Oreochromis niloticus: one gene and its partners. The protein of the gene in region 2 purifies or fractionates together with the protein of the main gene of each other region. This does not show direct contact. Links are inferred from orthologs where the notes say so. Each region holds a gene or a part of one and is shown on either strand. Other genes may lie near its edges. The genes, in order: exoc6, exoc2 and exoc3.

Evidence for each region.
Region 1: the proteins of exoc2 (region 2) and exoc6 purify together in Homo sapiens (affinity purification with mass spectrometry; 5 studies listed by BioGRID and IntAct, counting the BioPlex papers as one, with this or other methods). This does not show direct contact. The link is inferred for Oreochromis niloticus from reciprocal best matches to the Homo sapiens genes EXOC2 and EXOC6.
Region 3: the proteins of exoc2 (region 2) and exoc3 purify together in Homo sapiens (affinity purification with mass spectrometry; 6 studies listed by BioGRID and IntAct, counting the BioPlex papers as one, with this or other methods). This does not show direct contact. The link is inferred for Oreochromis niloticus from reciprocal best matches to the Homo sapiens genes EXOC2 and EXOC3.

The regions. Positions count from the first base shown.
Region 1 is NC_031973.2:28,333,455-28,341,958, forward strand, and holds the start of exoc6 (exocyst complex component 6), read right to left. Parts: upstream 3,779-8,504; 5' UTR 3,737-3,778; coding exon 3,591-3,736; intron 3,580-3,590; exon of another isoform or gene 2,569-3,579; intron 1,788-2,568; exon of another isoform or gene 725-1,787; coding exon of another isoform or gene 1-724. Other genes in the region: zinc finger protein 862-like, read right to left, coding at 1-724. UniProt on the Homo sapiens protein: Component of the exocyst complex involved in the docking of exocytic vesicles with fusion sites on the plasma membrane.
Region 2 is NC_031981.2:27,116,882-27,124,864, forward strand, and holds the start of exoc2 (exocyst complex component 2), read right to left. Parts: upstream 3,644-7,983; 5' UTR 3,563-3,643; intron 1-3,562. UniProt on the Homo sapiens protein: Component of the exocyst complex involved in the docking of exocytic vesicles with fusion sites on the plasma membrane.
Region 3 is NC_031982.2:271,877-280,241, reverse strand, and holds the start of exoc3 (exocyst complex component 3), read right to left. Parts: upstream 3,454-8,365; 5' UTR 3,292-3,453; intron 2,180-3,291; 5' UTR 2,122-2,179; coding exon 1,978-2,121; intron 1,727-1,977; coding exon 1,507-1,726; intron 1,382-1,506; coding exon 1,209-1,381; intron 507-1,208; coding exon 294-506; intron 1-293. UniProt on the Homo sapiens protein: Component of the exocyst complex involved in the docking of exocytic vesicles with fusion sites on the plasma membrane.

The DNA of each region.
Region 1 (8,504 bases), on a different chromosome or scaffold from region 2:
TCATGTATGTGGATATGTCACCATTATCCCTCACATACCTGACGTGAACCAACTCCTGTTCTATTATACCAGTGTCTGTACTGCCATCTGCAAGAATGGATAAAAACCTGCTTTCTTGAATTTCCTTTTCAATCTGGTCTCTTGAAGTTTGTGCTATTGCTCCAATAAACTCTCTGCAAGCATGGTCATTGAGGTAAGTGGAACCAAGATCGAGGCCATTTGCTTTCTGAAGTTTGCAAAGACTGCTAAATTTTGCCAGTGGTAGTTCACTCTTTGCAACATAGTACGCTGCTCTAAACAGCTTTTTCAGGACTTCTTGTTGTGCTTGGTTTATTTTTAGTATGGTTTTTGCAATTGGTGTTTGTTCTGGGACAGATGCTGCAGACTGAGCACCAATGCATTTCTTGTGATGCAGAGATTTCTCATGAGTTCTGATGGGGTCTTTCCTAAAATTACTGGTCCCAGTAACAAAGGTGCTTGTCGACTCAGAAATCGAGGGAAACTCACGACACACCCGGCAGGACATCATGTTATTTAGCTCGTCATATTCCAGCCACAGAAATTCTTTTGTCCATGAAACCAAAAAACTGCGCTTTCTTTTTGCCTCGTAGTCTGATTTGTCGTAACTTTTCCGCTTTGTGGTCGGCCTTTCTTTGCCTGTCCCTTCTTCATCCTGACCTGTCTTTTTTGGCTCAGCAGAACTAAAATACCTGCGTAAATCCATCTGTCTTTACACATGCCAGTGATTTTTTTTTTTTAAATTCTCTGCGCAATCAACCTCTAGCACGTTTAAGCTTGCTGCGGGAGATTTCACTTGCCACGTTTGAAGAGTAAGCTAGTAAGTGATGTTGTGTCCTGTCTGACTATACCATATTGCACCACTAGAGGGTGTTGTCATCAAATAAGAGGAAAGTGCAGTCGGGAAACTGTAGAGTTAGCCGTCTTAACTATATTCTAACTGATAACTCGATGCGTCTCCGTTACCTCTACGATGTAAAGTTATGTGCTGCATTCATTAAAGAGCACTGTTCTTTGATGAGGACTGGTTTATTACCTGTCGCTGCTACAAATGATAACAGGATTGCCGAGGAATTGGTGCGCAATTAATCGTCACTCACCAATCAATACTGCCACTCTCTATACACAGTTTGCGCGATCGCAAAGTGAAACTGAAGGTAAAAAACAAGCGCAAATTCAAATGCGATTTCAATACGGCAGATATTGACAGAGGCTCATCGATGCCAATGACATAATTACTCAGCTACATTTGCGAAAGAAAGCAAAGGCATTGACATATATTTTCCCTTCCTATGATAGCCCGACGGGCAGGGCTGAGATAGATTTTGGTAGCCCGACTGGAAATATCGCTAGCCCCGGGACGTCGGGCTAGCGATTTTGCGAGCCCTGCAACCACTGATCCAACCACAGGCATTTCTGGATCTAACATTTGTTTTTGGTGCATTCACACATAAGTTCATGCTTTTGAAGTCAACATGTATGTGAGGGAGCAGCTACACTGATCAATACTGAACTCATAAGGGGAAAAATAGACAGCAGGCATTTTTGGCCGTTGGCTTGATTTTAGTTTCGGGTTTAATGAAAGTATGATTTGCAGAGATGACAGTTTATTCCCTCAACTTTTTCATCCATCCATTCCCTTCCGCTTCTCCTTTTCAGGGTCGCGGGGGGGCGCTGGAGCCTTTCCCAGTTGTCTTAGGGCAAGAGGTAGGGTACACCCTGGACAGGTCGGCAGTCTGTCGCTATCCCCACTCAACTTTCTATTACATCTATTGTTTTGGTGGATTAAAGAACGCTGTGTTAATGAGGACATTACTAAGAATGCAGGAGTCAAGCCATTTTACACAAACTAGACTAAACATGTTAGTAAAATTATTAAGATTTATCTGTGTTTTTGGTTGAATTCAGCAAAATTTTTCATTGTGGCTTGTTTACACTGGCAGATTTGTACAGTTCATCTTCTCTCCTGTGTTTCTGAAAGTGGGACATTACTTCCCCAGTATCTATTTTGTATTCTTTGTATTTCACTTGCACAGTATGTATTATGGAGGGTGACCAGTGCTGCCTTAATGGTTAGCGTGTTTGCCCCCCTGCTTCACAAAAATGGTCTTGGTTATTGGCAATCTCAAGCAGGATAACAGAATAATTAAATTATGGACATGACGTCCAACACTAGACCCATAGTGCTCTGAAAAGCGACGTGCCCTGCCTCCTAGGAGCAAATGCACTCCAAAACAAGTGAATCTATGCTAGAACAAAAGAAGAAGACCTTGTGAGGATGCTGAAGGAAACAGGTACAAATCTTTCATTGAAACAAATATGCCAACATAACCTGCATTCCTCAGCAAGGTCAGATTGCAGTCTACAAAAAAAGACATAGTGAGGACATGTCTTTGCCTAAGTCCTCTGGTTTATCCTTAATTACTGTTGTAAAGAATGAAGCTACAAGGACAATGCTTTCAGGCTGGCACAGGTCTAATGGTGATTTATAAGACTGAACATGAGTGCCAAGTGGTAATGTTAATACTGGAGTAACTGACTCGCTGTTACCATCATGAAAAGATAAGTCAGTCCACCACACAACACCCAGTGTTTATAACTCTGTCCCCTGAGCCATATAATAGTCCACACCCAGGAAAGGCCTGTGCACTGCACTAGAGCTGCATTTGGAAAAGAAGAGCACGTTACTATCCAGGAAATATTTACTAATATTAGCTATAAGAAAAATTCAGTTTTTAGCCTGACCCTTTCAATTAGTTTTCTTATTATTAGTAAGCTCTACAGTAAGCAAAGCAAACCCCTATGATCACTGACAGCACGTCACTGTCATTTTACAACACCCGACCAAGCTGCCTAGTGATGAAGAAAAGACAGCGTCACCGTAGAATAAGAGATGAAGACACACGCTGAGAAAGCTAGATAGCATTGTTACCTGGAGGGTATGAGAAACAACCATGGCCTACAGGCACGTCTACAGGACAGGTGTGACAGGTGGAAGCATTCAACTAATGTCATTCACTGTGGCCTCGGAAGCTACTTCAGGCATCTAATTGCCTGAAATAACCAGTGCGGTGTGTTAAGGAACGTCAGGCTGAGCAAACCGGTGTTCCAGAACACCGGCATCCTCTGTCACTACCAATTCTGTCGCCAGAATAACACAACACCACAGGATCAGTATTCTTATCCGCTCGTAGCATTCGTTTTATTTTAGCTAACAACTACCCAAAATCGTTACCTGTTAGCCGTTAGCTAACTCAAGCTGCACAACGACGTAAGGATGTGAAGTCCCACAGCCACACCCACAAATGATGTTGACATTTTTGACAGGTCACTAGTCATCCATCCTTACACATAACCTAAAAAATGACCACACAGTCACCGCTGCTAACACGACAGCTAGCCTCATTCCTCATTTCAACACTATCTAGACTGTTGGCTAAAATAGCCAGCGCTAGCCTGCTACTGGGTAAGGCTAAGCTAGGTCTTAAACAAAAGGTGTGATCATGTAATACACAGTGAAAAACAGAGGACCTATATCGCTAAGGGCATTTTTAGAAGCTATATATCCTTACCGAAGAGTAGGACCGACACAAGCTGTGTCGGTGCTTTCAATTTCCTGTAAAATCCGCTCGTGCTCCGTTATGCACTCCAGGGTTTCACTGTCCGCCATGATTGTTATGTGCATATTACGGCTATCACTGCAGCTACAGCGGAGCATAGGTCAGTGTGAGGTCCGGCCTGTGGGAGGCGCACTACGGTCGTCTTGACCTCGGCGATTGCGGCTTTGTTTCCGCATAGCCTGTGCCTGGTTCCTCAACCACATGGAAAACCACACGGGTTTTGACTGTTTATGATCTTATCATAAATACTGTATAGCGAGTGGTTTGCATGGTTAGCAGTAAAAAAACAGGAAAATAATTTGTACTGTCATTCAAACGGTACTTGCAATAATAAAGATGCCTGCTATCAAATGAGCTTTAGTGGCTTTTATTTGATTAATCTCAGTTCTGCTGTAGATACATTTTAAATAACAACATACAGAGGAGGTTATTTAAATCTTTATGGTGTGCAAGTTTTTTATTTGTTTGTTTGTTTTTGTTTTGTTACATCAAGATACAATTCTGGTTAAAGCCTGACAAATAATTCACACTGACGCACACTGACGTTAATAATACTAACCCTTTTTCACATTAAATGCTTCTGTAATTGAACTCACAGTTTAATCAAATCAAACGCAGTTTGCATGTGTCCGCTAGCTTCTAAGTGCGTTTTTTTTTCCTGCTCTTGGTATTGAGATAAACCAGCGTTTTAAATGTTGTAATTCAGCTAAATCAGTCCACCTTCAGTTGTGTTCAGCAGATGAATCTTGGGTGTGTCTTGGAGTTTACCTTAAGGTGGTTCCAAGAGGTAAGTCCACAGATTCCAACTCTGCAAAAATATTCCCAAAAGCCTTCTTTTCTTCTTCTTTGCCTTCTCCTTCGCTTTGACCAGGCGGGTCAGGTAAAGCAGCATAGATCCTGTCACTAGCCATTCTCTCTTAGTGAAGTATGTCTTAAGTATGAAGACTAAAAATCTGTACGTGTAAGAGAGGATATTTTGTGTGTGTGTGTGTGTGTGTGTGTGTGTGGAGTCGTGCAGGACACCTGCTGTGGTCAGCAGAAAAAAAGGGTGCAACAGGAAAAAGAGACCTTGTGATTCACTGAACTTTGAAGCCAACAAAGCTAATTTCAGCTGTTCTGTGTTAGTAACTGTGGCTTTTATTCACCTCTGAAAATTAAAAAGACAGTCATCAAGCTACAGTTGATGTTGCAGATACAGGGCCTGATTTCTTAGTTAGTTGTCACACTTGTATACTGATCAAAATGTAATATTATAAAGCTTGAGGAAATACAAAACTACAAAATGCAGTTTGATGATGATTTTAGTTGTTAAGGAAAAAAAATCTCTCCAAACCTCCCTGGCCTGATGTGACAAAGTCATTTTGCCTAATAATAACTGTTGTATTAATAATATAATTAGTAATAATATCCATGAGGGATAACCACTTGTTCAGTGACCTGTAAACCACAGAGCTCCCTTTTCTGTCAGTTTGTTCAGTCTGTTGTTGTCAGCAGCTCCACCAGCAGACTCTCCACAACTAACTGATAGAAAAACTTCTCCAATATCTGCTGTGCATGTTAAAGGATTTCAGTTTCTTTGGGAAAGATAGACTTCCAGTTCAGCCTGGCTTCAGAGTGCAGAGGTGGCAAAAGTACCTAAGGAGAAATACACAGACTTGATTCAACTTCTTTACTGAAGATTACTTAAGATTAAAAATGATGACATCTCATCTTTAAATCTGCAGTTTATCAAGTGTCACGAGCAGTCATTACCTTTGAATATAACCTCTCTTATTCCGCTCCTCTCATGTCTTTTCTTACATTTTCTCCATATATGAATGAAATTTGCTCTCATTTCTCTCCCTGGAAATCCAACATCTGGACCTTTAGCAACACACTTTGTGACAAACTGCACATGAACAGTTTGTGTGTTTGCTGATGTTTGTTGAGCTGATAGAAACATTGTACAAATGTCAAACATAACAAATGTTATGCCGTACAGAGACATTACAGCCTGGACTCATTCCTCTTCCGTAGCGCTAGCTAGAAGCTGGCTACAACATACCTGCACTTGTTCCAGCCCACTTTAACCACTGAGTATAAACACTAGACGATACCGCTGAGCCTAAAGTAACTAGCCTGTTTTGAAAATTTAAGGAGTAGAAAGTACTAATATTTGTGTTAAAATGCAGGGAGTAATAGTGAAAGGCTGTCAAAAAAAATAACTAGTAAGTAAGTATTTCCAGTAAAGTACAGATACCTGAAAATACCTGAGAAGTATTTGTACTTTGTTACTTTCTGACTCAGTCAATGTGGATGTCCAGGTACTTTTACTCCTCCACCACATTAATATTATGTCTCAACACAGACACAGTGTATGTGTCCTCTTCCCTCACAGTTCCTCTGGTTTTATTCACATTCAGATGATTTCTGTCAGGCCACTTCACAAAAAAATCCACTAGTGTTCTGTAGTTACCCTGGATGTCAATTATGATCAGGTGCAGTGTGACGTGGCTGGTAGGATAAGGTGGGAGGCTGGGCATGTGGACGCCCAATATCGCAGAATGGCATTTGGGATGTGAGCTGGAGCACTACTGACTAGATATAGTTTGTCTCACCTCCACAGGTACCAAGGGTTTTGGAACAAAAGTCTGGCAGATGGGACTCTGGATTTGTCCTTTTCTGGAGTATCCAATGGTGTTAGGTGCTGAGGGGATGCTTTCAGACCTCTGTCCTACACACGGGTTGACAGACTGTAACATTTGATCTGAGGCTGTGGACACTTGGGTAAAGAGAGCTCCCTGTTGGCCACACGACAGGTTTAGATGAAAGTCACCCTGAGATGCTAAAGGCTCTGGACACTGCCTTGGTTGACATACGTCTTTAATGATACGTGGAGGTCTGGCACAGTGCCTGTGGACTGGCAAACCAGGATGGTGATTCCCATTTTCAAAAAGGGGGACCGGAGAGTGAGCTCCAGTGGTCAGGGTATTACATTTGTTCCAGGAAAGGAGGTCAGTTGTTGAAACTTGGACCCAGAAGCAGCAAAGCAGGTTCTGTCCTGGCTGTCGAACCCTTGTGGGACATCTGGAGGGATAACAGGAGTTTGACCATCCAATCTATGCGTGTTTTGTGGATTTGGAGAAGATTTTCCTGGGGGTACCTGTGGGTGTTTTGGGGTCCAGCACACTGCTATGGGACATCAGGTCCCTGTAAAACTGAAGTGCAAAGTCCTGTTTTTGATTTTTCATGGACGGCATCTCAAGGAGCTTCCAGGGTGACGAGGGCGTCTGCTCTGAGAGTCTCAGAATAGCAACCTTGCTTGTTGCGGATGACATGGCTCGTTTGGCTTCATCAGAATGTGACCTTCAGTACTCACTGGAGTGGTTTGCAGCCTCACCTGAGCCTGGTTCTGCCAGACGTTTCTTCCTGTTAAAAGCAAGTTTTTCCTTCCCACTGTCGCCAAAGTGCCTGATCATAGGGGGCCATCAAACTGTTAAGGTTTTCTCTTTTCTCTCTGTATTGTTACAGGGTCTTTATCTTACATTATAAAGCCCCTTGAATGAAATTGAATTGAATTAAATTCTGTTGACTACAGCCTATTTAACAATATAAGCAAAGGTCTTGCACATTAAAAACAACCTAAAACAAACAAACAAACAAACAAACATCACTGTTTTGGCCGATTGTCCCTTCTTTGCACTGCACTTGCAGGAGAGCAGCATGACTCCTAACACTGTGCATGCTTTTTTCTTTTTTTTAACTAAACTTGACGTGAGTATTTACTGAACCACAGTCTGACAGTTTGTCTGTTTACCACATATAACGTAAAGTCCAAAAACTTGTCAGACTCGCACACCGTTTAATTAATGTGATGGCAGTTAAGTGTGGCACACATACACCACACCACCTCTCTCCACAAGCAGTGGCGCTCTGGAAACCATGTGACCAATAAGAAATGAAAAACAAACACATGCAGGTTACAGGTGTGACACCTGTTAGGTTAAAGATAAAGAGCCTGTGTTAGATGTTAAGCTAGTCATTCCTCCCTGTGCATACATGAATCATAGTTTCCCCATAAAAATATATTTTGAATGTTTGCATTTGTTCACTCCTCAAATAGTATGGTTATAATTTTAAGCTTGCTTCTGTGGGTGATTGCACTTGACTATGGAGGCTTAAAAAAGCATGTATTTGGCATTACACACTGTGGAAACAGTACTCAACACTTCATCACAGTGATAATGTAGTTGGGCAAAATGAACGTTCTCAAATACTAATGTTACCTAAAACTACACAGTGTAAATGTAAATGACTACTGCATTCTATACAAATACAAGGAAGTGTGTGTGTGTGTGTGTGTGTGTGTGTGTGTGTGTGTGTGTGTGTGTGTGTGAGAGAGAGAGAGAATATTGTAATGTTTAAATGTACTATTTGATTGCAATAATAAAACTCAGCTCAAATGATTATGGTGTGTGGATAAACACATGGTGGCACAAAAGGTTACCATCTCTTCTTAATATTGTGGGCAAGGCAACAGGCCTCGGTCAGCTTACACAAGAACTTTCTATTTCCTGCTATTCTTCTTGGAATTGATTGGCCCATTAGGGCCAATGACATCTTTACAAAAGCTACAACTATGAGTTTCCTTATTACCCAACCAAAAACAAGTACTGGGTCACTCTCTCTCTCTCTCTCTCTCTCTCACACACACACACACACACACACACACACACACACACACCAGCAGTTGCAAAAAATGGCTTGATATTACACAATGGAAATGAAGAAAGCATACATAAACATTTAAGATGACAGACAAATGCAGCTTAAACTCTCTCTCTCTCACACACACGCACACACACTCTCTCTGTGACACAATAGCAC
Region 2 (7,983 bases):
TTTGAATTTAGGGCAAATGATGTTGTGATGATAATCCATGTTTAAATTAATATATATTTCTCTACTGTTTTGTGAATACAGAAAGGAGACTTCATTTTATAAAATCACGCAGCTAATCTAATACTACTACTACTACTACTACTACTACTAATAATAATAATAATAATAACAAGTTTGTCAAATCATAACTCACATTAAACTTTTTACCCCATTTGTCAGAATAGCTGGGGAGTGTATTTGTTAATGTCAAAAAACAAAACAAAACAAACAAACAGACAAACAAACAAAACAACATCCAAACTGACCAATTATACAGGGCAGCTAACATTTATTTTACTTTACTTTTACTACTTGGTGACTGCTGGTACTAGTTAAAAAAAAAAAAAAGTAAAATAAACCTCATAAAATAAACAAATCAGCGAGGCAGCAATATAGTAAGCAATCTTGAGGTGAATGACGGCAGCGAGTCTGAATGACGTGATTCCATCTGTGATCTGTGTTGGTGTACATGTCAGACAACTGGCATGATTTTAGGCCATTTAAATGTTCATACATTGTTGAGTGTTTGGGTTTTTTGTGATATAATTGTAACCTGTAAACAGGTTTCAGTTCACTTCTCCAATAAAAGAGCCTTTGGGATTTTATCTGCCTTCTAGAGAATAATGTTACTCACCTCTGTTGAGTCTTATATGATGTTTAAGAAGAGTTTATATCGTTTTGGTCTAAAATAAATTAAAATCCCAAACAATCAGCATAGAGCTAATATATATGAAAGTCCAAAAAAAAAAAGTGGCAGGCAACAAAAATGATTACCAAGCTAACAAATAATCATTGACCTATTCATTTTGTATTAAAATATGTAAAAAACAAATTAATTTAAAAAAAGAGTTGACATAACTTATGACATGTTTGTTTTCACGGGGCCACAGCCCCTTTGCCTATCTAGATCTGACAAGGTCACAGAAACCCCGGAGTGAAGACCAGTGGCCCAGCAAGCTCTGTGTGTAGGCTGGGTAATGCCAGGTGGGGCAGAAAGCAGAAAGGGGTAAGCGAAAAGTGCTGCTACAAACAAAGTCTTGCCCAGCCCCCATCACTTGATTCACCCCGAGGTCTACGGAGCTGCGTCACTCAGGAAATTCTAAAGAGAAAAAGAAAAAGAAAAAAAAAAAACGCAGCCCACCACATTCCACCAAAACAAACAACAGGGCCACCCAAATTTTTCAATTAGAGCCCCAGGAGGGGACAGGAAATGGATCAGTGTAGCCACCCCCCACCTTCCCCTGTCACCAATGCTGACTCTGGACTAAAGAAAGAGAAGTGATACACAGAGCTCTGTAGGCTCTAACTGTAGAATTGCTACCATGGACCTCAACTCGAATGATCGACATCTTATTTCTATGACACGGCACCAGCCTGCTGTTGACTTGTCAATCAAATTGCTCTCATTCACTCTGTCATACAATCAATCAGTTAAACTAACACACATGGTAAGGAACCACTTCCATGGGATAGAGCTATTTAAAGAAAGTACGTCTAACAACATTAGACAAAAGCACACAAGAAAAAGGATTACAGAGGCTTAAACTGTGTTCTGTCTGAAAACACTAAACTTAATGAGACTGAAGTGAGAAGCGTTTACATAATATCTGGGAGGTCTTTATGTATATTAAGTTGTATCTCACTGTTTACATATACTAGGAGTGATTGTATGTGCAGCCACAGCTTGAAATGTTGAAATGCACTTTCTTGATCTCTGACTAACATAGACTGGTTAGAATATTTAGAAAACAAAAAGAAGCAGTGCTCATCATTGAGGCAGCATTATGCTAAAGAATCTTGAGGTGAATGACAAAAGTGATTCTGAACAACGTGATTTTTCACTTTGTAACTTTGTAGTGCAACTGAAGTGTGACAGACGAGCAGCATTAGGAATAAACGCTAAACATATCGTAGGTCAGTTACATCCTGCACTGATTCAGACCCGAGTGTTGAGAATTTTCAGCACTACAGCCTTGTAGTAAAACAATGTGCTTTCCCGTTAAGGGTCAAATTGTTGCAATTGCTTAGCTGTTGAAATTCAAGATGTGCTTTCATAATATAACCACTTAAATCAGTTCATCTTACAATTCACTCAGCGAGAATTAGTGTGTTTGTGGTCTATTTCAGGAAACAAATAAAAATTCACTGATTTCACCCTCTCAAATATAAAAACTGTAATGGGTACACAAATCAATAATGTAAATAATCATTAACTAGATAGAAAATATGCATAAAAACATCACAGGTGCACTGACCTAAATCAGAACTAACTGTAGCTTCAACCACAAGAAGTGATTATCTTTGATGCGCCACATTACCATGTAATTATACCTCATAATCATCCAAGATAAGCGTGCCATTCATGCAGGGGTAATGAGGGAATATGATTCTCACATGAACTGAATGAGCATTCTGAGAGAACGTAACAATCATACCAAATTAATTCCCCAAAACAAGTCAAGTTACCTAATTTGAAATATACTAATGTTTAGTCTTATCAGTTTGTTTTCCAGTCAGTGCCTTTCTCTGTCACATGAGGTAAATGAGTGTAATCACTTTGTTTCTTTTTTCTTCTTTTTCTTGTTTTCACTCTCTAAGTTTTTTCTTTTTCGTTCTCCAAGTGCCACTAAGGTGTTTTAAGTGTAATTTCATCACACTAGCAATCACTTCTTACTACTTCAAATGCATGTGAAGTCACTATTGCAGATTTTATGTATTTATTTATAAAACAAAAACCCAAGAGATTAGTTGCAAGGTGGGGTCGACGTAAGAAAGAAGGTGGTTTCTATATGAAATCTTGATGTATCTTCTATATTTGCAGACAACCGCACCCGTTGAATATAGCGTTGTGGATTACAACATCTGGCAAGTGAAGTGCCAATTTAATGCTTTGAGCATCACATAGGTTTTCATTTTAATAATGCATCTGCTTTATGAACAACCCAGCTGTTATTCAGCACTAATCGAAAAGTAAACAAAACAAAGGAGGGGTCACAGCTAAGCAAGACAAGAAGATGAATTTTTATAGCTATTAACGTAGTATAACCTTCCCGAATTTACCAGAAGTCAATGATTACTAGTAAGAAGTTTCGTCACTAAGTGTATCACTACATAAACAACGCAACACCAAATTTACTTTAATAAGACAGAAATTTTAACGGAGTTTGGCACAGCTAATCGTAATATCTCTAACACTGCAGAATGACACAAATAGACCATTTCCCAGTTATTTTTTTTCGTCAGACAGGTTAAAGCCAACTGCTACAATAAGTAAATAGCTCTTTCGTTTTACTAGAAAAAAGAATACAAGCTTTACTGAGAAATTTGACAGCTGCAGTTAGCTTGTGCTAGCGTTTGCCATTAACCGGATTTGTTATGCTAGAATGATGTTGGAGTTAGAGGGTGTCATTCTCGTTCGTCATGACCATAAAAAGGGCTTAGATTTCTAAATGACATGGCATAATTATAGCGAGCTATTTGGGGTAGAAAAAGTAGAAGATATAAAGGGAAATATTTAACTTACAATTTACAGTCGCTTGCCTTCTGCGGTGTTTCCTGTATCATTTAACTATTTCCGGTCTTCCGTTTTTCATGCAGCCTTCAAAATAAAACGAAATGAACTAAAACGAAATAAAGTATGTAATGCAGTTAATTTGCTTGTGATCGATATTTTAAGTAATCAAATATGTGCCTAAAACTTTCGGGTTCTTAGTAAATGTGCCTGTTTTTTTTAGTATTTATCACTTTGTAAATGCATATTTACAATTTCTGACGGTAAATGTGTTTAACTCGGCGATCTCCATAACTTCAAACAAACTCTGTAGCATAGTAACTTTAATTATTTGTTTTATACATTTCAGGCCTTTTAAATGTTAAAATTAAATAAATAATAAATAAATTAAATTCTTTGGCACTAGTTATTTTGCATTTCTGTACAGCACTTTGGTCAACGTTGGTGATGTAATTAAATGTGCTATATAAATTAAAAAAACGATGCACGAAACAATAAAAGATCAATGTAAGAAAACAGCGTGATCACTAAAGCCACTTTAGTCTCTCAGCAGATACCCTAATTACCTGTGGAAACTTAATTAGGCAGTTATATTACACGCACACACACACACACACACACACACACACACACACACACACACACAAAACTTTGCTGACCAAGGTTTTAATGTAATTATGTATCCATGGTGGATCTAAGTCTCCATGCAGCAATAAAATCAGCCTGCTCTTCTGAAGTGTTGGTTGTCCATTGTGTGAGAATTTTGAAGCCCATTGGGAGCTTTGCTCCTTTCCTCATCTCTCTTTTCACGGTGCATCATTGAGGTATTTCCACTTGTTCTGGGAAAGGCGCAGCATCATTAGAAATGCAACAGAGACCACCCAGGCACACACTAGAACACTGATGGCATTACATTTATCTCACCAAATTGTGCAGGGCAGAAAGAATTTCTGTGATAAGGCAAGGCCCAATCCCCAGGGAAAGCATATTGTCCAATTAGACTGACTAATCTGATAATTGAGGGATCAAACTGTGACTGGGGAGTTTGCACAGATGCTGATGTAACACAGAGGCTGTTTGTCTACATAAACATCTACTTAAAGCAATGATGGTGGAAGATTTTGATCTCAGTCTCAGTGGTACAGTCTTTGCCAATGAATGACTACATCAGCAGTATATCACACATATCACCCAGGGAATACAGAAATAAGTGGCAGTATATATCACATATTTTATTATATTATTGAACATATATTATATATGTTTTGTAATATAAATGTTGTGCATTTGTACATATTAATTAATATGTACATTAATATACTGACAATTTTGCACTAAATGTTTAGTTGAAGGAACATTTCACAATCTTGGGGAATAAACTTTTCCTTCTCAGTGATAAAATGAGAAGACCACTGTCCTGTCTCTCTGTTAAAGATGAAGGTCATGCCAGCACATGGTGGTGTGTGCCTAGCATAACAATTGGAAAGAGAGGGGAAACAGCTAGTCTGGCTTTCTGGTTTCCCAACCAGGGAATATATGTCCTATTGATCTTCTCATCTATATCCCAAAGTTTCAAAGAAATATAATCTCGATTCAAAATGATTTATTTAGTGAGGAACACGCGATTGCATGTTGCGTTTTTAAATAGTGCAGGCTTTCTGAGCAGGTGTGCTCCTGAGGGAGACGATTGGTGCCCTCATCCTTGCTTTGACCCCCTAACCTTCTGTAATCTACATCTCGCAATGGCACATGCTGCGCTGGCACCATTGCTCATCCCCGAACCCTATTGTTCATTGTTTGTCTTCTCCAGTTTTTTCCCATGGGCCCCTGGCCAGTGAGAGGAAAAGGTCACTGTAAATATTGCACTGAAATCCTCCCGCCCTCCCATAGAGCTCCTGAAGATGGAACAGACGACCAGTGGGTGAGCACTTCCTTCCTGCACAGGGCATTTCAACTGTATGACATCAAACAAGTGTGAATCCCTCAATGTCAAAGATTACTGCAGAGATCATATGCTCAGTGTTGACATTATAATAACCTGTGCTGCTATACTGTAGATACTATACTATGGTATAGTATCTACAGTACATGCAATTCCATTTGCTTACTAAAACAAAAACTGAGCAAACAAAAAAGTCTTCTATCTGTCCCAAAGCTACTTTTTAGTCTGTTTCATAGCATTAAATACTAATAATATGTTTTTAATGACCATATATCAGTCCAACCTGTGCCCATATTATGGATCTCAAAATAAACACAAAATATGTATTCCAAAGGAAATTAAGTGAAGTTTTGGAACCCCACATGGGTCAGGGTTAGCCTGTAGCACCGCTGTTAATATAAGACAGGGGATATTAAATAAACCTCTGATTTCTGGGTTTGTTTGGCTTCTGAGTGGTGCTCTATCTCCCCCCTTTTTCTGAAGGAGCCCAGTTCCCTGGGCTCACATTTTGGTCTCCGGAAATCCAGGCCTGTGCCAGGCTTAGCTTGGAAAAGCATCCAGATGAACACAATACAAAAATGAGATTTGAGGGGAACAGAGAGCCTTTCAGTCTGAGTGCTGACACACTGCTCAACACTGTCAATGACTGCACAGCTAATGATTTCTGTTCCATCAGCTTAAAGGGTCATCACTAGTGGGCACTCTACTTTTGGCCCTATGAATGTTATGAATGTTATTATGTTATTAAAGACATTTGTGATGAGTTCAGAAAAGTTCACTGTTAGGCTTGGGGTACATTTCCTCAGCAAAACCTTGTCACTATCCATGCAGGGCAATTGTTTCTTTGGAAATAAATTTCTGATGATGTTTTCATTAGCGACCAAATTAAATATAATTGCAGGATAGCTACGGCTAAATACCATAAGTTTTAGAAATTTGGAACCAAGACATAAAGACTACAGGAGAATTTGGCCGAAAACGGTGGGTGTGAGAAGGTATAAAGGGGCATTTTCCCAAATATTCTTGGGCTTTTACCACCCAGGTTAACATAACATGTTCCTTGCCTTCTCATAACAACGCTCCTTCAACCCCCCCCTTCCCCCCAGGCCAGACAACAGGCTACTGTGTCTCTGGAGGCACAGTCCAGATCAGCTCTGAGAACTAGGGGGAGCCTACAAGAGTAAAATGAAAAATCCTCATGGATGGTAAAAACAAACTAGAAACATTTACTTCACAAATAGTTTGTTGTGTAATACCACCTCTTTTGTTTTGGGTTTTTTGGGGGGGTTTTTTTGACTGTTGTACACCAGCCCCTCCTCGTTTGAGCATCACAGCACTGAGGGGAAACAGCTTTCATCCACGGGGGCAAGCTGAAGCCGTCGATGCATGCTGCACTTTGTGTTCTGTTTCTGATGAGATGTGACTGGCTGGAGTGCGTTCATAACTGTTTGTGTTTACGAACAGGTGGACTTGGTTACAGCTCGGGGTTATTTGTGTGCAGGATGGGCCAATGCCAATTGCAATCAAGAGGACATTCTAAAAAATCATACACTCAGCAGGCTGATGTGATGTGCTCCAGCTCTGCTTTCTGTTGTTGTAGGTCAGATGTTTTAATTTGAATATTTATACAGTTTAATGCTGCCATCTTTTTATCCTTCGGCGGGGTTTTATTGTAGCTATTAATTCAAATGTAAAATGATATCTTATTGCAAAGCATTTCTTTTTAAAGACTTAAATATTCTCACTCAACCTTGTTCAGTTTAATCATCAGCATGTGTTTTACTGTATCAGTTTAGATATTTTTAAACATTTTTTGGGGGGGGAAAAAAAAGACACCTGCAAGTATATTTCCTCTAGTACAAACCAGTGTAAATTAATAACTGACCCAAATGTGAAATACTGACAGCATGAAAGATTTTTAAAAATGTTGTAAAACATAAAGAACTGAGCACGTCAATAATTCCAGAGAGTATTTGGAGCAGTATGGGACCTACTTCAAGATATTAAAGAAATTAGGCAATTAAAGGACACATCATGGATTAAAAATACCGCAGGAGAAAACGCTGAGAATAAACTTAAATCTTGTGCTCCCCTGTGTGAAAGGAAGAGAGGGTTTTAACTTGAATGAGCCTTCTAATGCCACACATGGGCTTTCTATCCCATGGATCCTTCTGTAAAGTCTTAACACCCTGAGGACGAACTGCATTGGCCTCAGTGAATATTAACTGGACTTATTGTGTAGCATGTTGGCTCACATAACTATGATTTCATAACACGTCTTCATTTCCGCTGCTAAATCAACGACAGTGAGGATCCAGGGCTTGGCGGGCTGCTTCATTGTGACCTCAAGATTTTTCCTCTATCTGTGCGTTTCATATATTTCATACAGAAAAAAAATGCAGCTGCAACTCAGTAGGGGGCGCCCAAGAACGTCATTTCGGAACTTGGCCTCCTTTGGCGAACGAGATCCCCATGAGGATCTCGTTCAGAA
Region 3 (8,365 bases), on a different chromosome or scaffold from region 2:
ACACCAGTCCTGCAGCTGACAGAATACTAACCATATGGTCAGAAATACAAAGACTGAAATATTTTATGAAAATAGCGAAGATAAAAGCAAAGGTAAATTTACAGGCAAATTAAATGTAAACAAGTTTTGGATAAGTACACACAAACACATGATTGACTGATATGATTTAAGAAGAAGAAGGAAGAGGTGGCAGGTACTTAAAAAAAATAAAGATGTGGAGAGTTTTCAGACCCTTTGAAATTGTTTCTGTTGATTTTTCTCTCAGTAGTTACAAAGTATTATTCTGTTCTGACCTCAAACATCTTTTCTTTCCACTTTTTGGGTCGCCCAGGCGGGATGAACCCAGTCTGCTTTTTTCGGTCAACCATACGCCGATCAATCTTCTCCTCCCGCTCAATGATACGAACTACTGACACCAGCATGGTGGGGTCACGACGAACTGTTACCATGGACCGCTGCAGTACCATCCATAATTGTTTAGCCAGCTCGTCTGACAGTCCCTGAACCTGGAAGAGAACAGAGAGAGCGAAAGCTTTTTGAGAGGCTTCTGTACAACTACTAATGTTGAACCAGGCTATATTCTTAATCACGGGAGTTTTTTGGTCTGGTTAAAAACAAAAAGAATGAATGCAGGTTTAAGGAACTGGTGTCACTTCATGAAGCCAGGTCAAACTTTTTTAATCATAAACTGTATTTTTTTAAGCACTTAGTATCTGCTAGTATCTAACAATCTGAGATTTTTATTCACTTTTTTCAGATGTAGCTCTTTTATGCCTTTTCAATGCCAAGTTTTCAAATGACAAAAGTACCTGTGCTGTGACCATGTGTGACTGACACTGACTTGTCCAATGAAATTCTTAAACAAGGCAGGTAATCTATGCCAGTTGACCAGGGGTGCACAAACTTGTAACCCAAGAGGAGAATTCCAAGCGCCAACTGGAACTCCGCTTTGCATGTATTCATTTCCTGTACAAGGAAGTGAATACATGCATATTATTTGCATGAACTTTAAGCACAATGTAATGGAGTTTGACCACAAAATGTATTCTAGCAGGCACGTGTGCGCAACCACACATGTAGTCTGAGCAAACTGTACTTATTTATGACGTTTTTTTGTATTTTGTGATGGATTTTATTCCAACAACATTTTTAGGGGGACGGCTGCCACTGGTCCAACTCTCTACATCAACTTTGCTATGTTCGCTTACATCTTCAAAGTAGATGGAAATGAGATTCATGTCACTGGTGTTCTTGCTGTCCATACGGTACTGCTCATACATGAGGTCATCACGTGAACACTCCAGCTCCATCAGCTTCCTGTGGGCCTGCAGCAGCTCTGCCTGTTCTATCAGCTGCTGTGTCTCTCCCACTATCTCTGGCACTATACACAAAGCAAAGGAAAAAGACACCCATGGCTGTAAAAACCAAGAGCAGATAAGGTTTCTATAGTAACGGGATGTTGTTGGCATCTTTTAGATTGAAGTTTTTAGGTTTAGCTAAACTTACCAGAGAAGATATTTTTTAGGTTTTCCACAGCAGCAGCCAACTGGCTGTGCTGAACTACAGCATCCTTGACGTCTTTTAGGTTTTCAATGGTGTTAATGCTCTGCCTCCAGTCTTTACTCACATCAGCCAATGAGCTCTGGATATCTTTGACATCTAGCAGAGCACTGTGCAGCTGGGTCAGTCCAGTCCGAACACCATCCAACTGGGACTGAATGGCTGCCTGAAGAACATCAAGGACCATCAGGAAACAGATTCATGTTCAGTATCATTGTTGAATTACTGTGACTTAATAACGTTGTGCTATATACAAATGCTTTGCTTTCTTGTTTACCGTGTATCCATTTACTGTGTAGATTAATAATTAATACAGTCGCTATAAAAAAAGCATACCTTTATCTTAGCTGTTATTAAATACAAATACTAGACAATGCTAAGAAAACAATAATAGTACACACAGATGAAACACATCACCTTGAGCCGCGCTTCCACTGACGCCTTTTTACGGGCCTCTCGTCTTCTGTATTGCTCCACTTTATCCAGCTGGTCTGACCTCTGCAGCATCCCTGCCACACGCTGCACTGCAGTGGCAACTGCCTCCCTGCTTGTTTCCTCCATTGTCCTGCTCAGGAAATAAGGTGTCAGGTGTGTCCAAAGGTTTCCACACAAGGACCTGCTTAAAGAGAAAAATATCGAAAGGGTTGATCTTTATGTAGTGCTTTTCTAAAACACATTTAACCATTTATTCAATGCAATGCTTTGCTTTACAAACTTTAGCACTCATGACTGCTTTAGATACCTTGATTAATGTGGACATGAAACCCTACGTGTATAAAGGCTAATTTACACTATAAAGCCCAACTCTAAAAACTGGCATAAATTTTCACACTGTCTGTGAAGCTGGATTTAAGAAGTAAGTTTTTTAGAACATGTTTAGCACCATCTTGTGCCAGTAATTCAATTCAACTTAATTCAATTTGATCTACAACATGCTCTTATCACTGTGATAAAATTTTGAACGCTGTAGGCCATAAGAAGATCATTTGTATCCTTCTCTAATTCTGTTAGAGAAGGATACTGTGCTGTGATGAGCTCTGAAACCTGACTGAAACTCTTCAAATAAGCCATTCCTCTGCAGATGATCAGTTAGCTGTTTAACAACTACTTTTTCAAGGATTTGCGAGATAAAAGGAAGGTAGTCAGCCACTGGTGTTGGGGACTGTATGCTGCGGCTCTAAGATGGTATTCCACTTGTGAAGGCACATACATCTTTCCAAGGTCCTGTTTATAAAACCAATAATGCTGTGCAATTATTGAAGGTAATGTCTAATCCTGACACATCACATGCACGTGAATGTCACGTCCATTATTTTCTTCCGGTTATCCCATTCGGACGAAGGGGCGCTGGAGCTGTCACAGAGCAAGAAGCGGACTAAACCCTGGGCAGCTCTGTCGCAGGGACAGAAAGTCATTTCCAAATGACTCTGGCACAGCCTTTGTCTTCTTGACAGTACTTCATTGGCAGACACAGTTAAATGGCTTCTGTGGTCCTAATGCCCCGCGTAACGTTAATGCAACACAATAAAAGCTAGTGTTGTTTTTGCACTGACAGCTATAGCACCACATTCGAACACAGTCGTGACTGGATCAAGTATATAAATCAACTCTAACGTTGAAATGAAAACAGATGATCCAACGTAGTAAATGCATGCTAAGCTAACAACAGGCGAAAACGACCCAGTGTCAGCGACAATAAAACAAGCTAGTTCTTCAGACCCGGAAACTTACCTCACTTAAGGCAAACCCAGAGGGAAGACAACAACCATATCTACCAGTATTAAATATATTATTATTTCAACTAACACAGCCTTTGTTGTCGTTGTTCAACTTCCTGCTTCCAGCAGCGCAGGAGACGCCTGCTGCTTCTTCTTCTTGGTGTTTATTGGCTGTTGACAAACAACGAATTGGTGAATACCGCCACCAACTGGTTTGGAGTGTGGATCGGAATGTCATACAAATGCGTTTGTCTAAGACAATTAAATATGGCCTGGTAACTTTTGCTTCCTCATTTATTTCTAAGTAAATCATTTAAATCTAGTTTAAGTTTAAATCAATTCAGGCTTTCAATCAGTTGTCTTGCTTCTTCCTCATACAGTGTAATATAACATTCTCTATTGTCTCATCAATACTCACATTTTTCATTGCAATGTTTCCCTAAAATGAATAGTGTGCCGTTTAGCCCAGTGTGCCGAAATCTGAGATGTGATGATTGTTTTTTTTCTCCTCCATCCTGTAGTTTTCATTTCTCCAGTTTTCTTTGGATTTTATAAATCCACCATCCTGTCCTTTCTTTCTCCCACTGTTTTTGTCATCTCTCCTTCATTTTGTGTTTGTGTTGTATTTTTTTATTTTTTATTTTATTAAAGCTGAACAAAAACAGTTTTTGGTTGCACATTTTTTATGTGTAATTCAATCCAAGTAGAGCACGATTTAAAAGCACAACTTTGACGTGCTGTACAAGGCAACTAAACACACCACAACAAATCAATGAAAAAAGTAGGAAACACATTTTCTGAAGAAACTGCAGTGTGAATGCTGATAGCTGAATGTTTTGAGCTGAAATGAAATAACTGCTGAATGTTAAGTTAAAAATGTTGAATGAGCTGAAAAATGCGGAATTTTTCACCTGAAAAGAAAAGTGCAGAACTGTTGAGAGCTGACAACCACAAAGAAGTAGCTGAACATGTTTAAGATGTAAATTAAAAAGCTGAGAAATGACAAAAGAAAATTTAGAGTCAGAAAACATCTGAATGAATATTAAAAGTTCATATTCTTTGAATCACTGAATAACTGAAATGTGGGAGAATTCACTACAGACAGGTAAATGCTGTAAGTTTTAACCATTCAGTCAGAAAAGATGATTCTAAAAGTCATCAAGTGACTCCAGCAGCCCAGATCTGAACCACCTGTGTGCAGAAGAGAAATCCACCAATGAACAATAAGCTTGAATTTAACGGGCCAATCAGAATGCTCTATCCAGCTGGCATGCACTAACCCAGGGGTGGGCAACTCCAGGCCTTGAGGGCCGGTGTCCTGCAGGTTTTAGATCTCACCCTGGGTCAACACAGCTGAATCAAATGATTAGTTCATTACCAGGCCTCTGGAGAACTACAAGATATCTTGAGGAAGTCATTTAGCCATTTGAATCAGCTGTGTTGGATCAAGGACACATCTAAAACCTGTAGGACACCGGCCCTCGAGGCCTGGAGTTGACTAACATTGCACTAACTACTGACATACTATTATTCTGTGGCAAAACCCTGTCAAATCTGCCTTACTGCACCTGTTGAAAAACTGCATCTAAATCCAAGACCGTAACTCCTATCAAAACAGCCTTTGAACCGTGAGGATCCCGACGACTAGTTCTACACAACAGTGTGTTCTTTATGTTCCTGCTGTCAAAGAACGTGGTCACAGAAGTGATTTAAAAACGTGAGGTCTTTTCTGCTGTTGAGACAAACTCCTGAGTGAAAATAAAATATTTTTCTATGGGTTAGAAGGTTATCTCTCTACTTGGATCCACACAGTTCAAAAAGTTTACATCTCTGACCTTTGAAAGACACACTGTTGGAAAGAGAACAACAATGGCTATGTTTTGAGGTTTAAATGATGGCTGTGGAGCAAACACTGCGCACACAGCGGCTGTTGAAACAGAAGTCTTTAAGAGTAATCTTGGGAGATTGACAAACAGAGCTTATTAAGGAGGCAGGTGTGAGCCTGGTTGCTATCCGGTCTTTAAGTGATGACGTGGTGAACCCTACTTCAGAGCCCGAACGACTCTGCGTTTATTAAGGCTGTTGTGTTCTTAACAAGTTTTAATGCTTTGTATCTTGCTCTATTTAATCTCCACGAGCCCCTAAAAACAGTAAGGCAACAGTAAGTATCACTGTCGGCCTCTCTCGATTTTTATTACCACTGTTCATCATAAAGCTCCGTTTTTAAAACCACAGTCCAGCAGTTTGCTGACATCACCAGTCAGGCTAGAGCTGATATCACCAGAAAGGGCAGATGAGAGCGGCTTGCCCCGGCTGGGCAGCCAGAACAGCACCACCAAGGCCGGAGATTGAGCAATACTGAAAGAGCATTTGGGAGAAGGACACAGTCCATAACAGCAATGCTCAGTGGCTAGTGAATTTTAGATCAGACCACAGCAACCTCCCTGAATAGGGTCCAGTAACCATTACAGTGGCAGACATCCAAGAGTAGGCCTCCAGTATGAAGAGTTGGACATCACCAGGCCATGACATGGTTCACGGCTTAAGAAGGTTGCACTCCATAAGCATCTGGCAGCACAAATGAACCATCTGCTAGTCGGCGAAAGACACCCGAAATGAGTCATGACTAACCGACAGCCGGATGGTGCTGATCCTCAGGGACTCCAGGAGGGGTCAGTCCCATCCAATAACCTGCCTCAGTATCACATGGAAGCTCTTGTCGGGCATCATAGCAACTAAGATGAACAGGCACCACCACCACTATATCCTGTTGGTTAGCTGAACTGGCAAGAATACCAGAGGCGTAGACGGACAAAATGGTGGCTAACCAACATCACCTGTCTGGTGATGTCACCTAACCAACAGGATATAGTGGTGGTGGACAAGCGGAAGAAGACGCTACAGTTATCGATGTAGTGATACTAAGTGACAGCAACATCAGGAAGAATGAACACGAGAAGCTGGAGAAGTACCAAGGGCTCAAAGAGGAGCTTGAGAAGATGAGGAAGGTGAGCACTAGATGCAGTGCATCCCAAACTAGGCAGGGAGTTGTAATTAGGGGTCCCATCTTAGTTTTATGGAGTGCCGTGTCATTAATTTACATGTGGTCATTTGCAGTGTATAGATCCCCTGTTAAGTGTGGTGACCAACCATCCTCTTTTCCCCTGACATGTCCACTTTTCACGTTCTCTCCAGGGCGTCCGGGGGGATTTTCGAGATTGATGAAAATGTCCGGGTTTTCCTACAGAGGACCCATATGTGTGACGTCATCCTCGAGCTGCAGCTTTGTGAGTTGTTGTTCTGCCACTGTGCTCACAGACGGGACAGACAGCGCGCAGCAGCGGGCCTGGTGATGTTTAAAAGATGCCAAAGCACAAATGCAGCTTTTCAGACAAATTGCAAAATTTCCCTCATACCGTCCCTGTACTGGTAATTTGTCTTATACAGATGAGCCCTTATTTCAGTACCATTATTTAATTTCAGAGGTTTTTAAGTTATTTTTTTTCCCTTGTTGACTTGTAAAAGCCTATGTGACATTTTTGTTTCACCATTCATTAACCGCACAGAGAAGGCATCGTTTAAATATGTTAAAATTTTCTTTAAGCAAACAGTATTATTAAAGTTCTTCATGACTGGGCCAAGTGTCCTCTTTTTTGGAAATCAAAATATGGTCACCCTACTTTATACTGGTGTGGACAGATTTGTCCTCCCTGGGAACACAGCTCGCCACTGTCACGGTCTGCGGGAGGCAGACCGAATGGAGAATGAGTGGAGGACTCAGGTGTGGACACTGACGAGGAGACGGAATTACTTTAACGAAAAACCAGCCTTTATTTGGGGCTGATAAGAGAGCATACAAAAATTAAGTAAGCAAACTGGTAGAGCGCAGACTAAGAAAACTATGACTAAACTATTACGAGACTGGAGAGACTGTGAAAGCTATGAACGCTGAAAATACTCTAAAACATGAAGGGACACTATGAAGTCTAAACCTAGACATGGGGAAGGGAACACAGACGACACCACACTGAACACAGGAAGACTGAGGGCTTAAATACACACACGAGGTGATCGGGGGAAGTGGAGACACATGAGGACAACAGCTGACTGGAATGAACATAATGACGCCTCAGTGGAAGTGAAAGCTAAGTACATAGAACATGGAAACAAGACTTCCAAATAAACAGGAAACATTACAAGATGCAGACATGACATAAATTTAACCAGCACCACAGAGACATAAAGCATGATTTTCAGGGCCAACTCTTGATACTTGAACCCACATAACACAACCAGGAGTTTTTGCAAATCGCTCTAACACATTAATTTGGCAGTCACAAATTAATGAAGCAGGGAGACTTAGAACAGGGGAGAAGACAAAAGGATCTGCAAAGCAAAGGACTAACACAGCAATCTAGGCATCGTAGCACTTAATAAGGTAAACTAAACTCAAAGCAGAACACGAATAGAAAACAAAATACAATAAAACTCAAACACTGGGTCACACGACCCAGTACCGTGACAGCCCTCCCTCAGTCTTTGTCTAAAATCCTCCTTTTAAAGTGTTAGTTGTGAAATAAAGTTTTGTGTCTCATCTTTTGTGGTTTTATTTTCAGCTCTGACTTGTGAATATTACATCCTGTTGTCAAATATAGGTTACTTAGATTAGATGAAACTTTATTTATCCCTTGGGTGGGTTCCTCCAGGAAATTCACTTGAGAAATATGGTGAGAAGAAGAGAAAGAAAATAATTACATGCTTTGTCAATTTCCTGCTATTATGGTTGATATCACTGAAAATAGGGACATATGAAAACGAAATAATAATTCTCTGCAGAGCTGAGCAGAAGCAGCTTAAGATTCACTCTCCCAGGATGGAGTTAACTTTAAGAGCAAACTTGTTCAGGAAAGACAAAGAAGTATTAGATCATATAAGAGTGTGAACTGTTGCCCGTTCCTTGTTGGCCCTGTGATGCACCAGTTTTATGCAACCTTATTACAGTCTTGCCAAAGGTGGCCGCTGGGGGGGTTGTAGTGACAGCTCCTCTGGAATTAGTTTCTGTGTTAGTTGTTCCTGTGTTCAGTTAT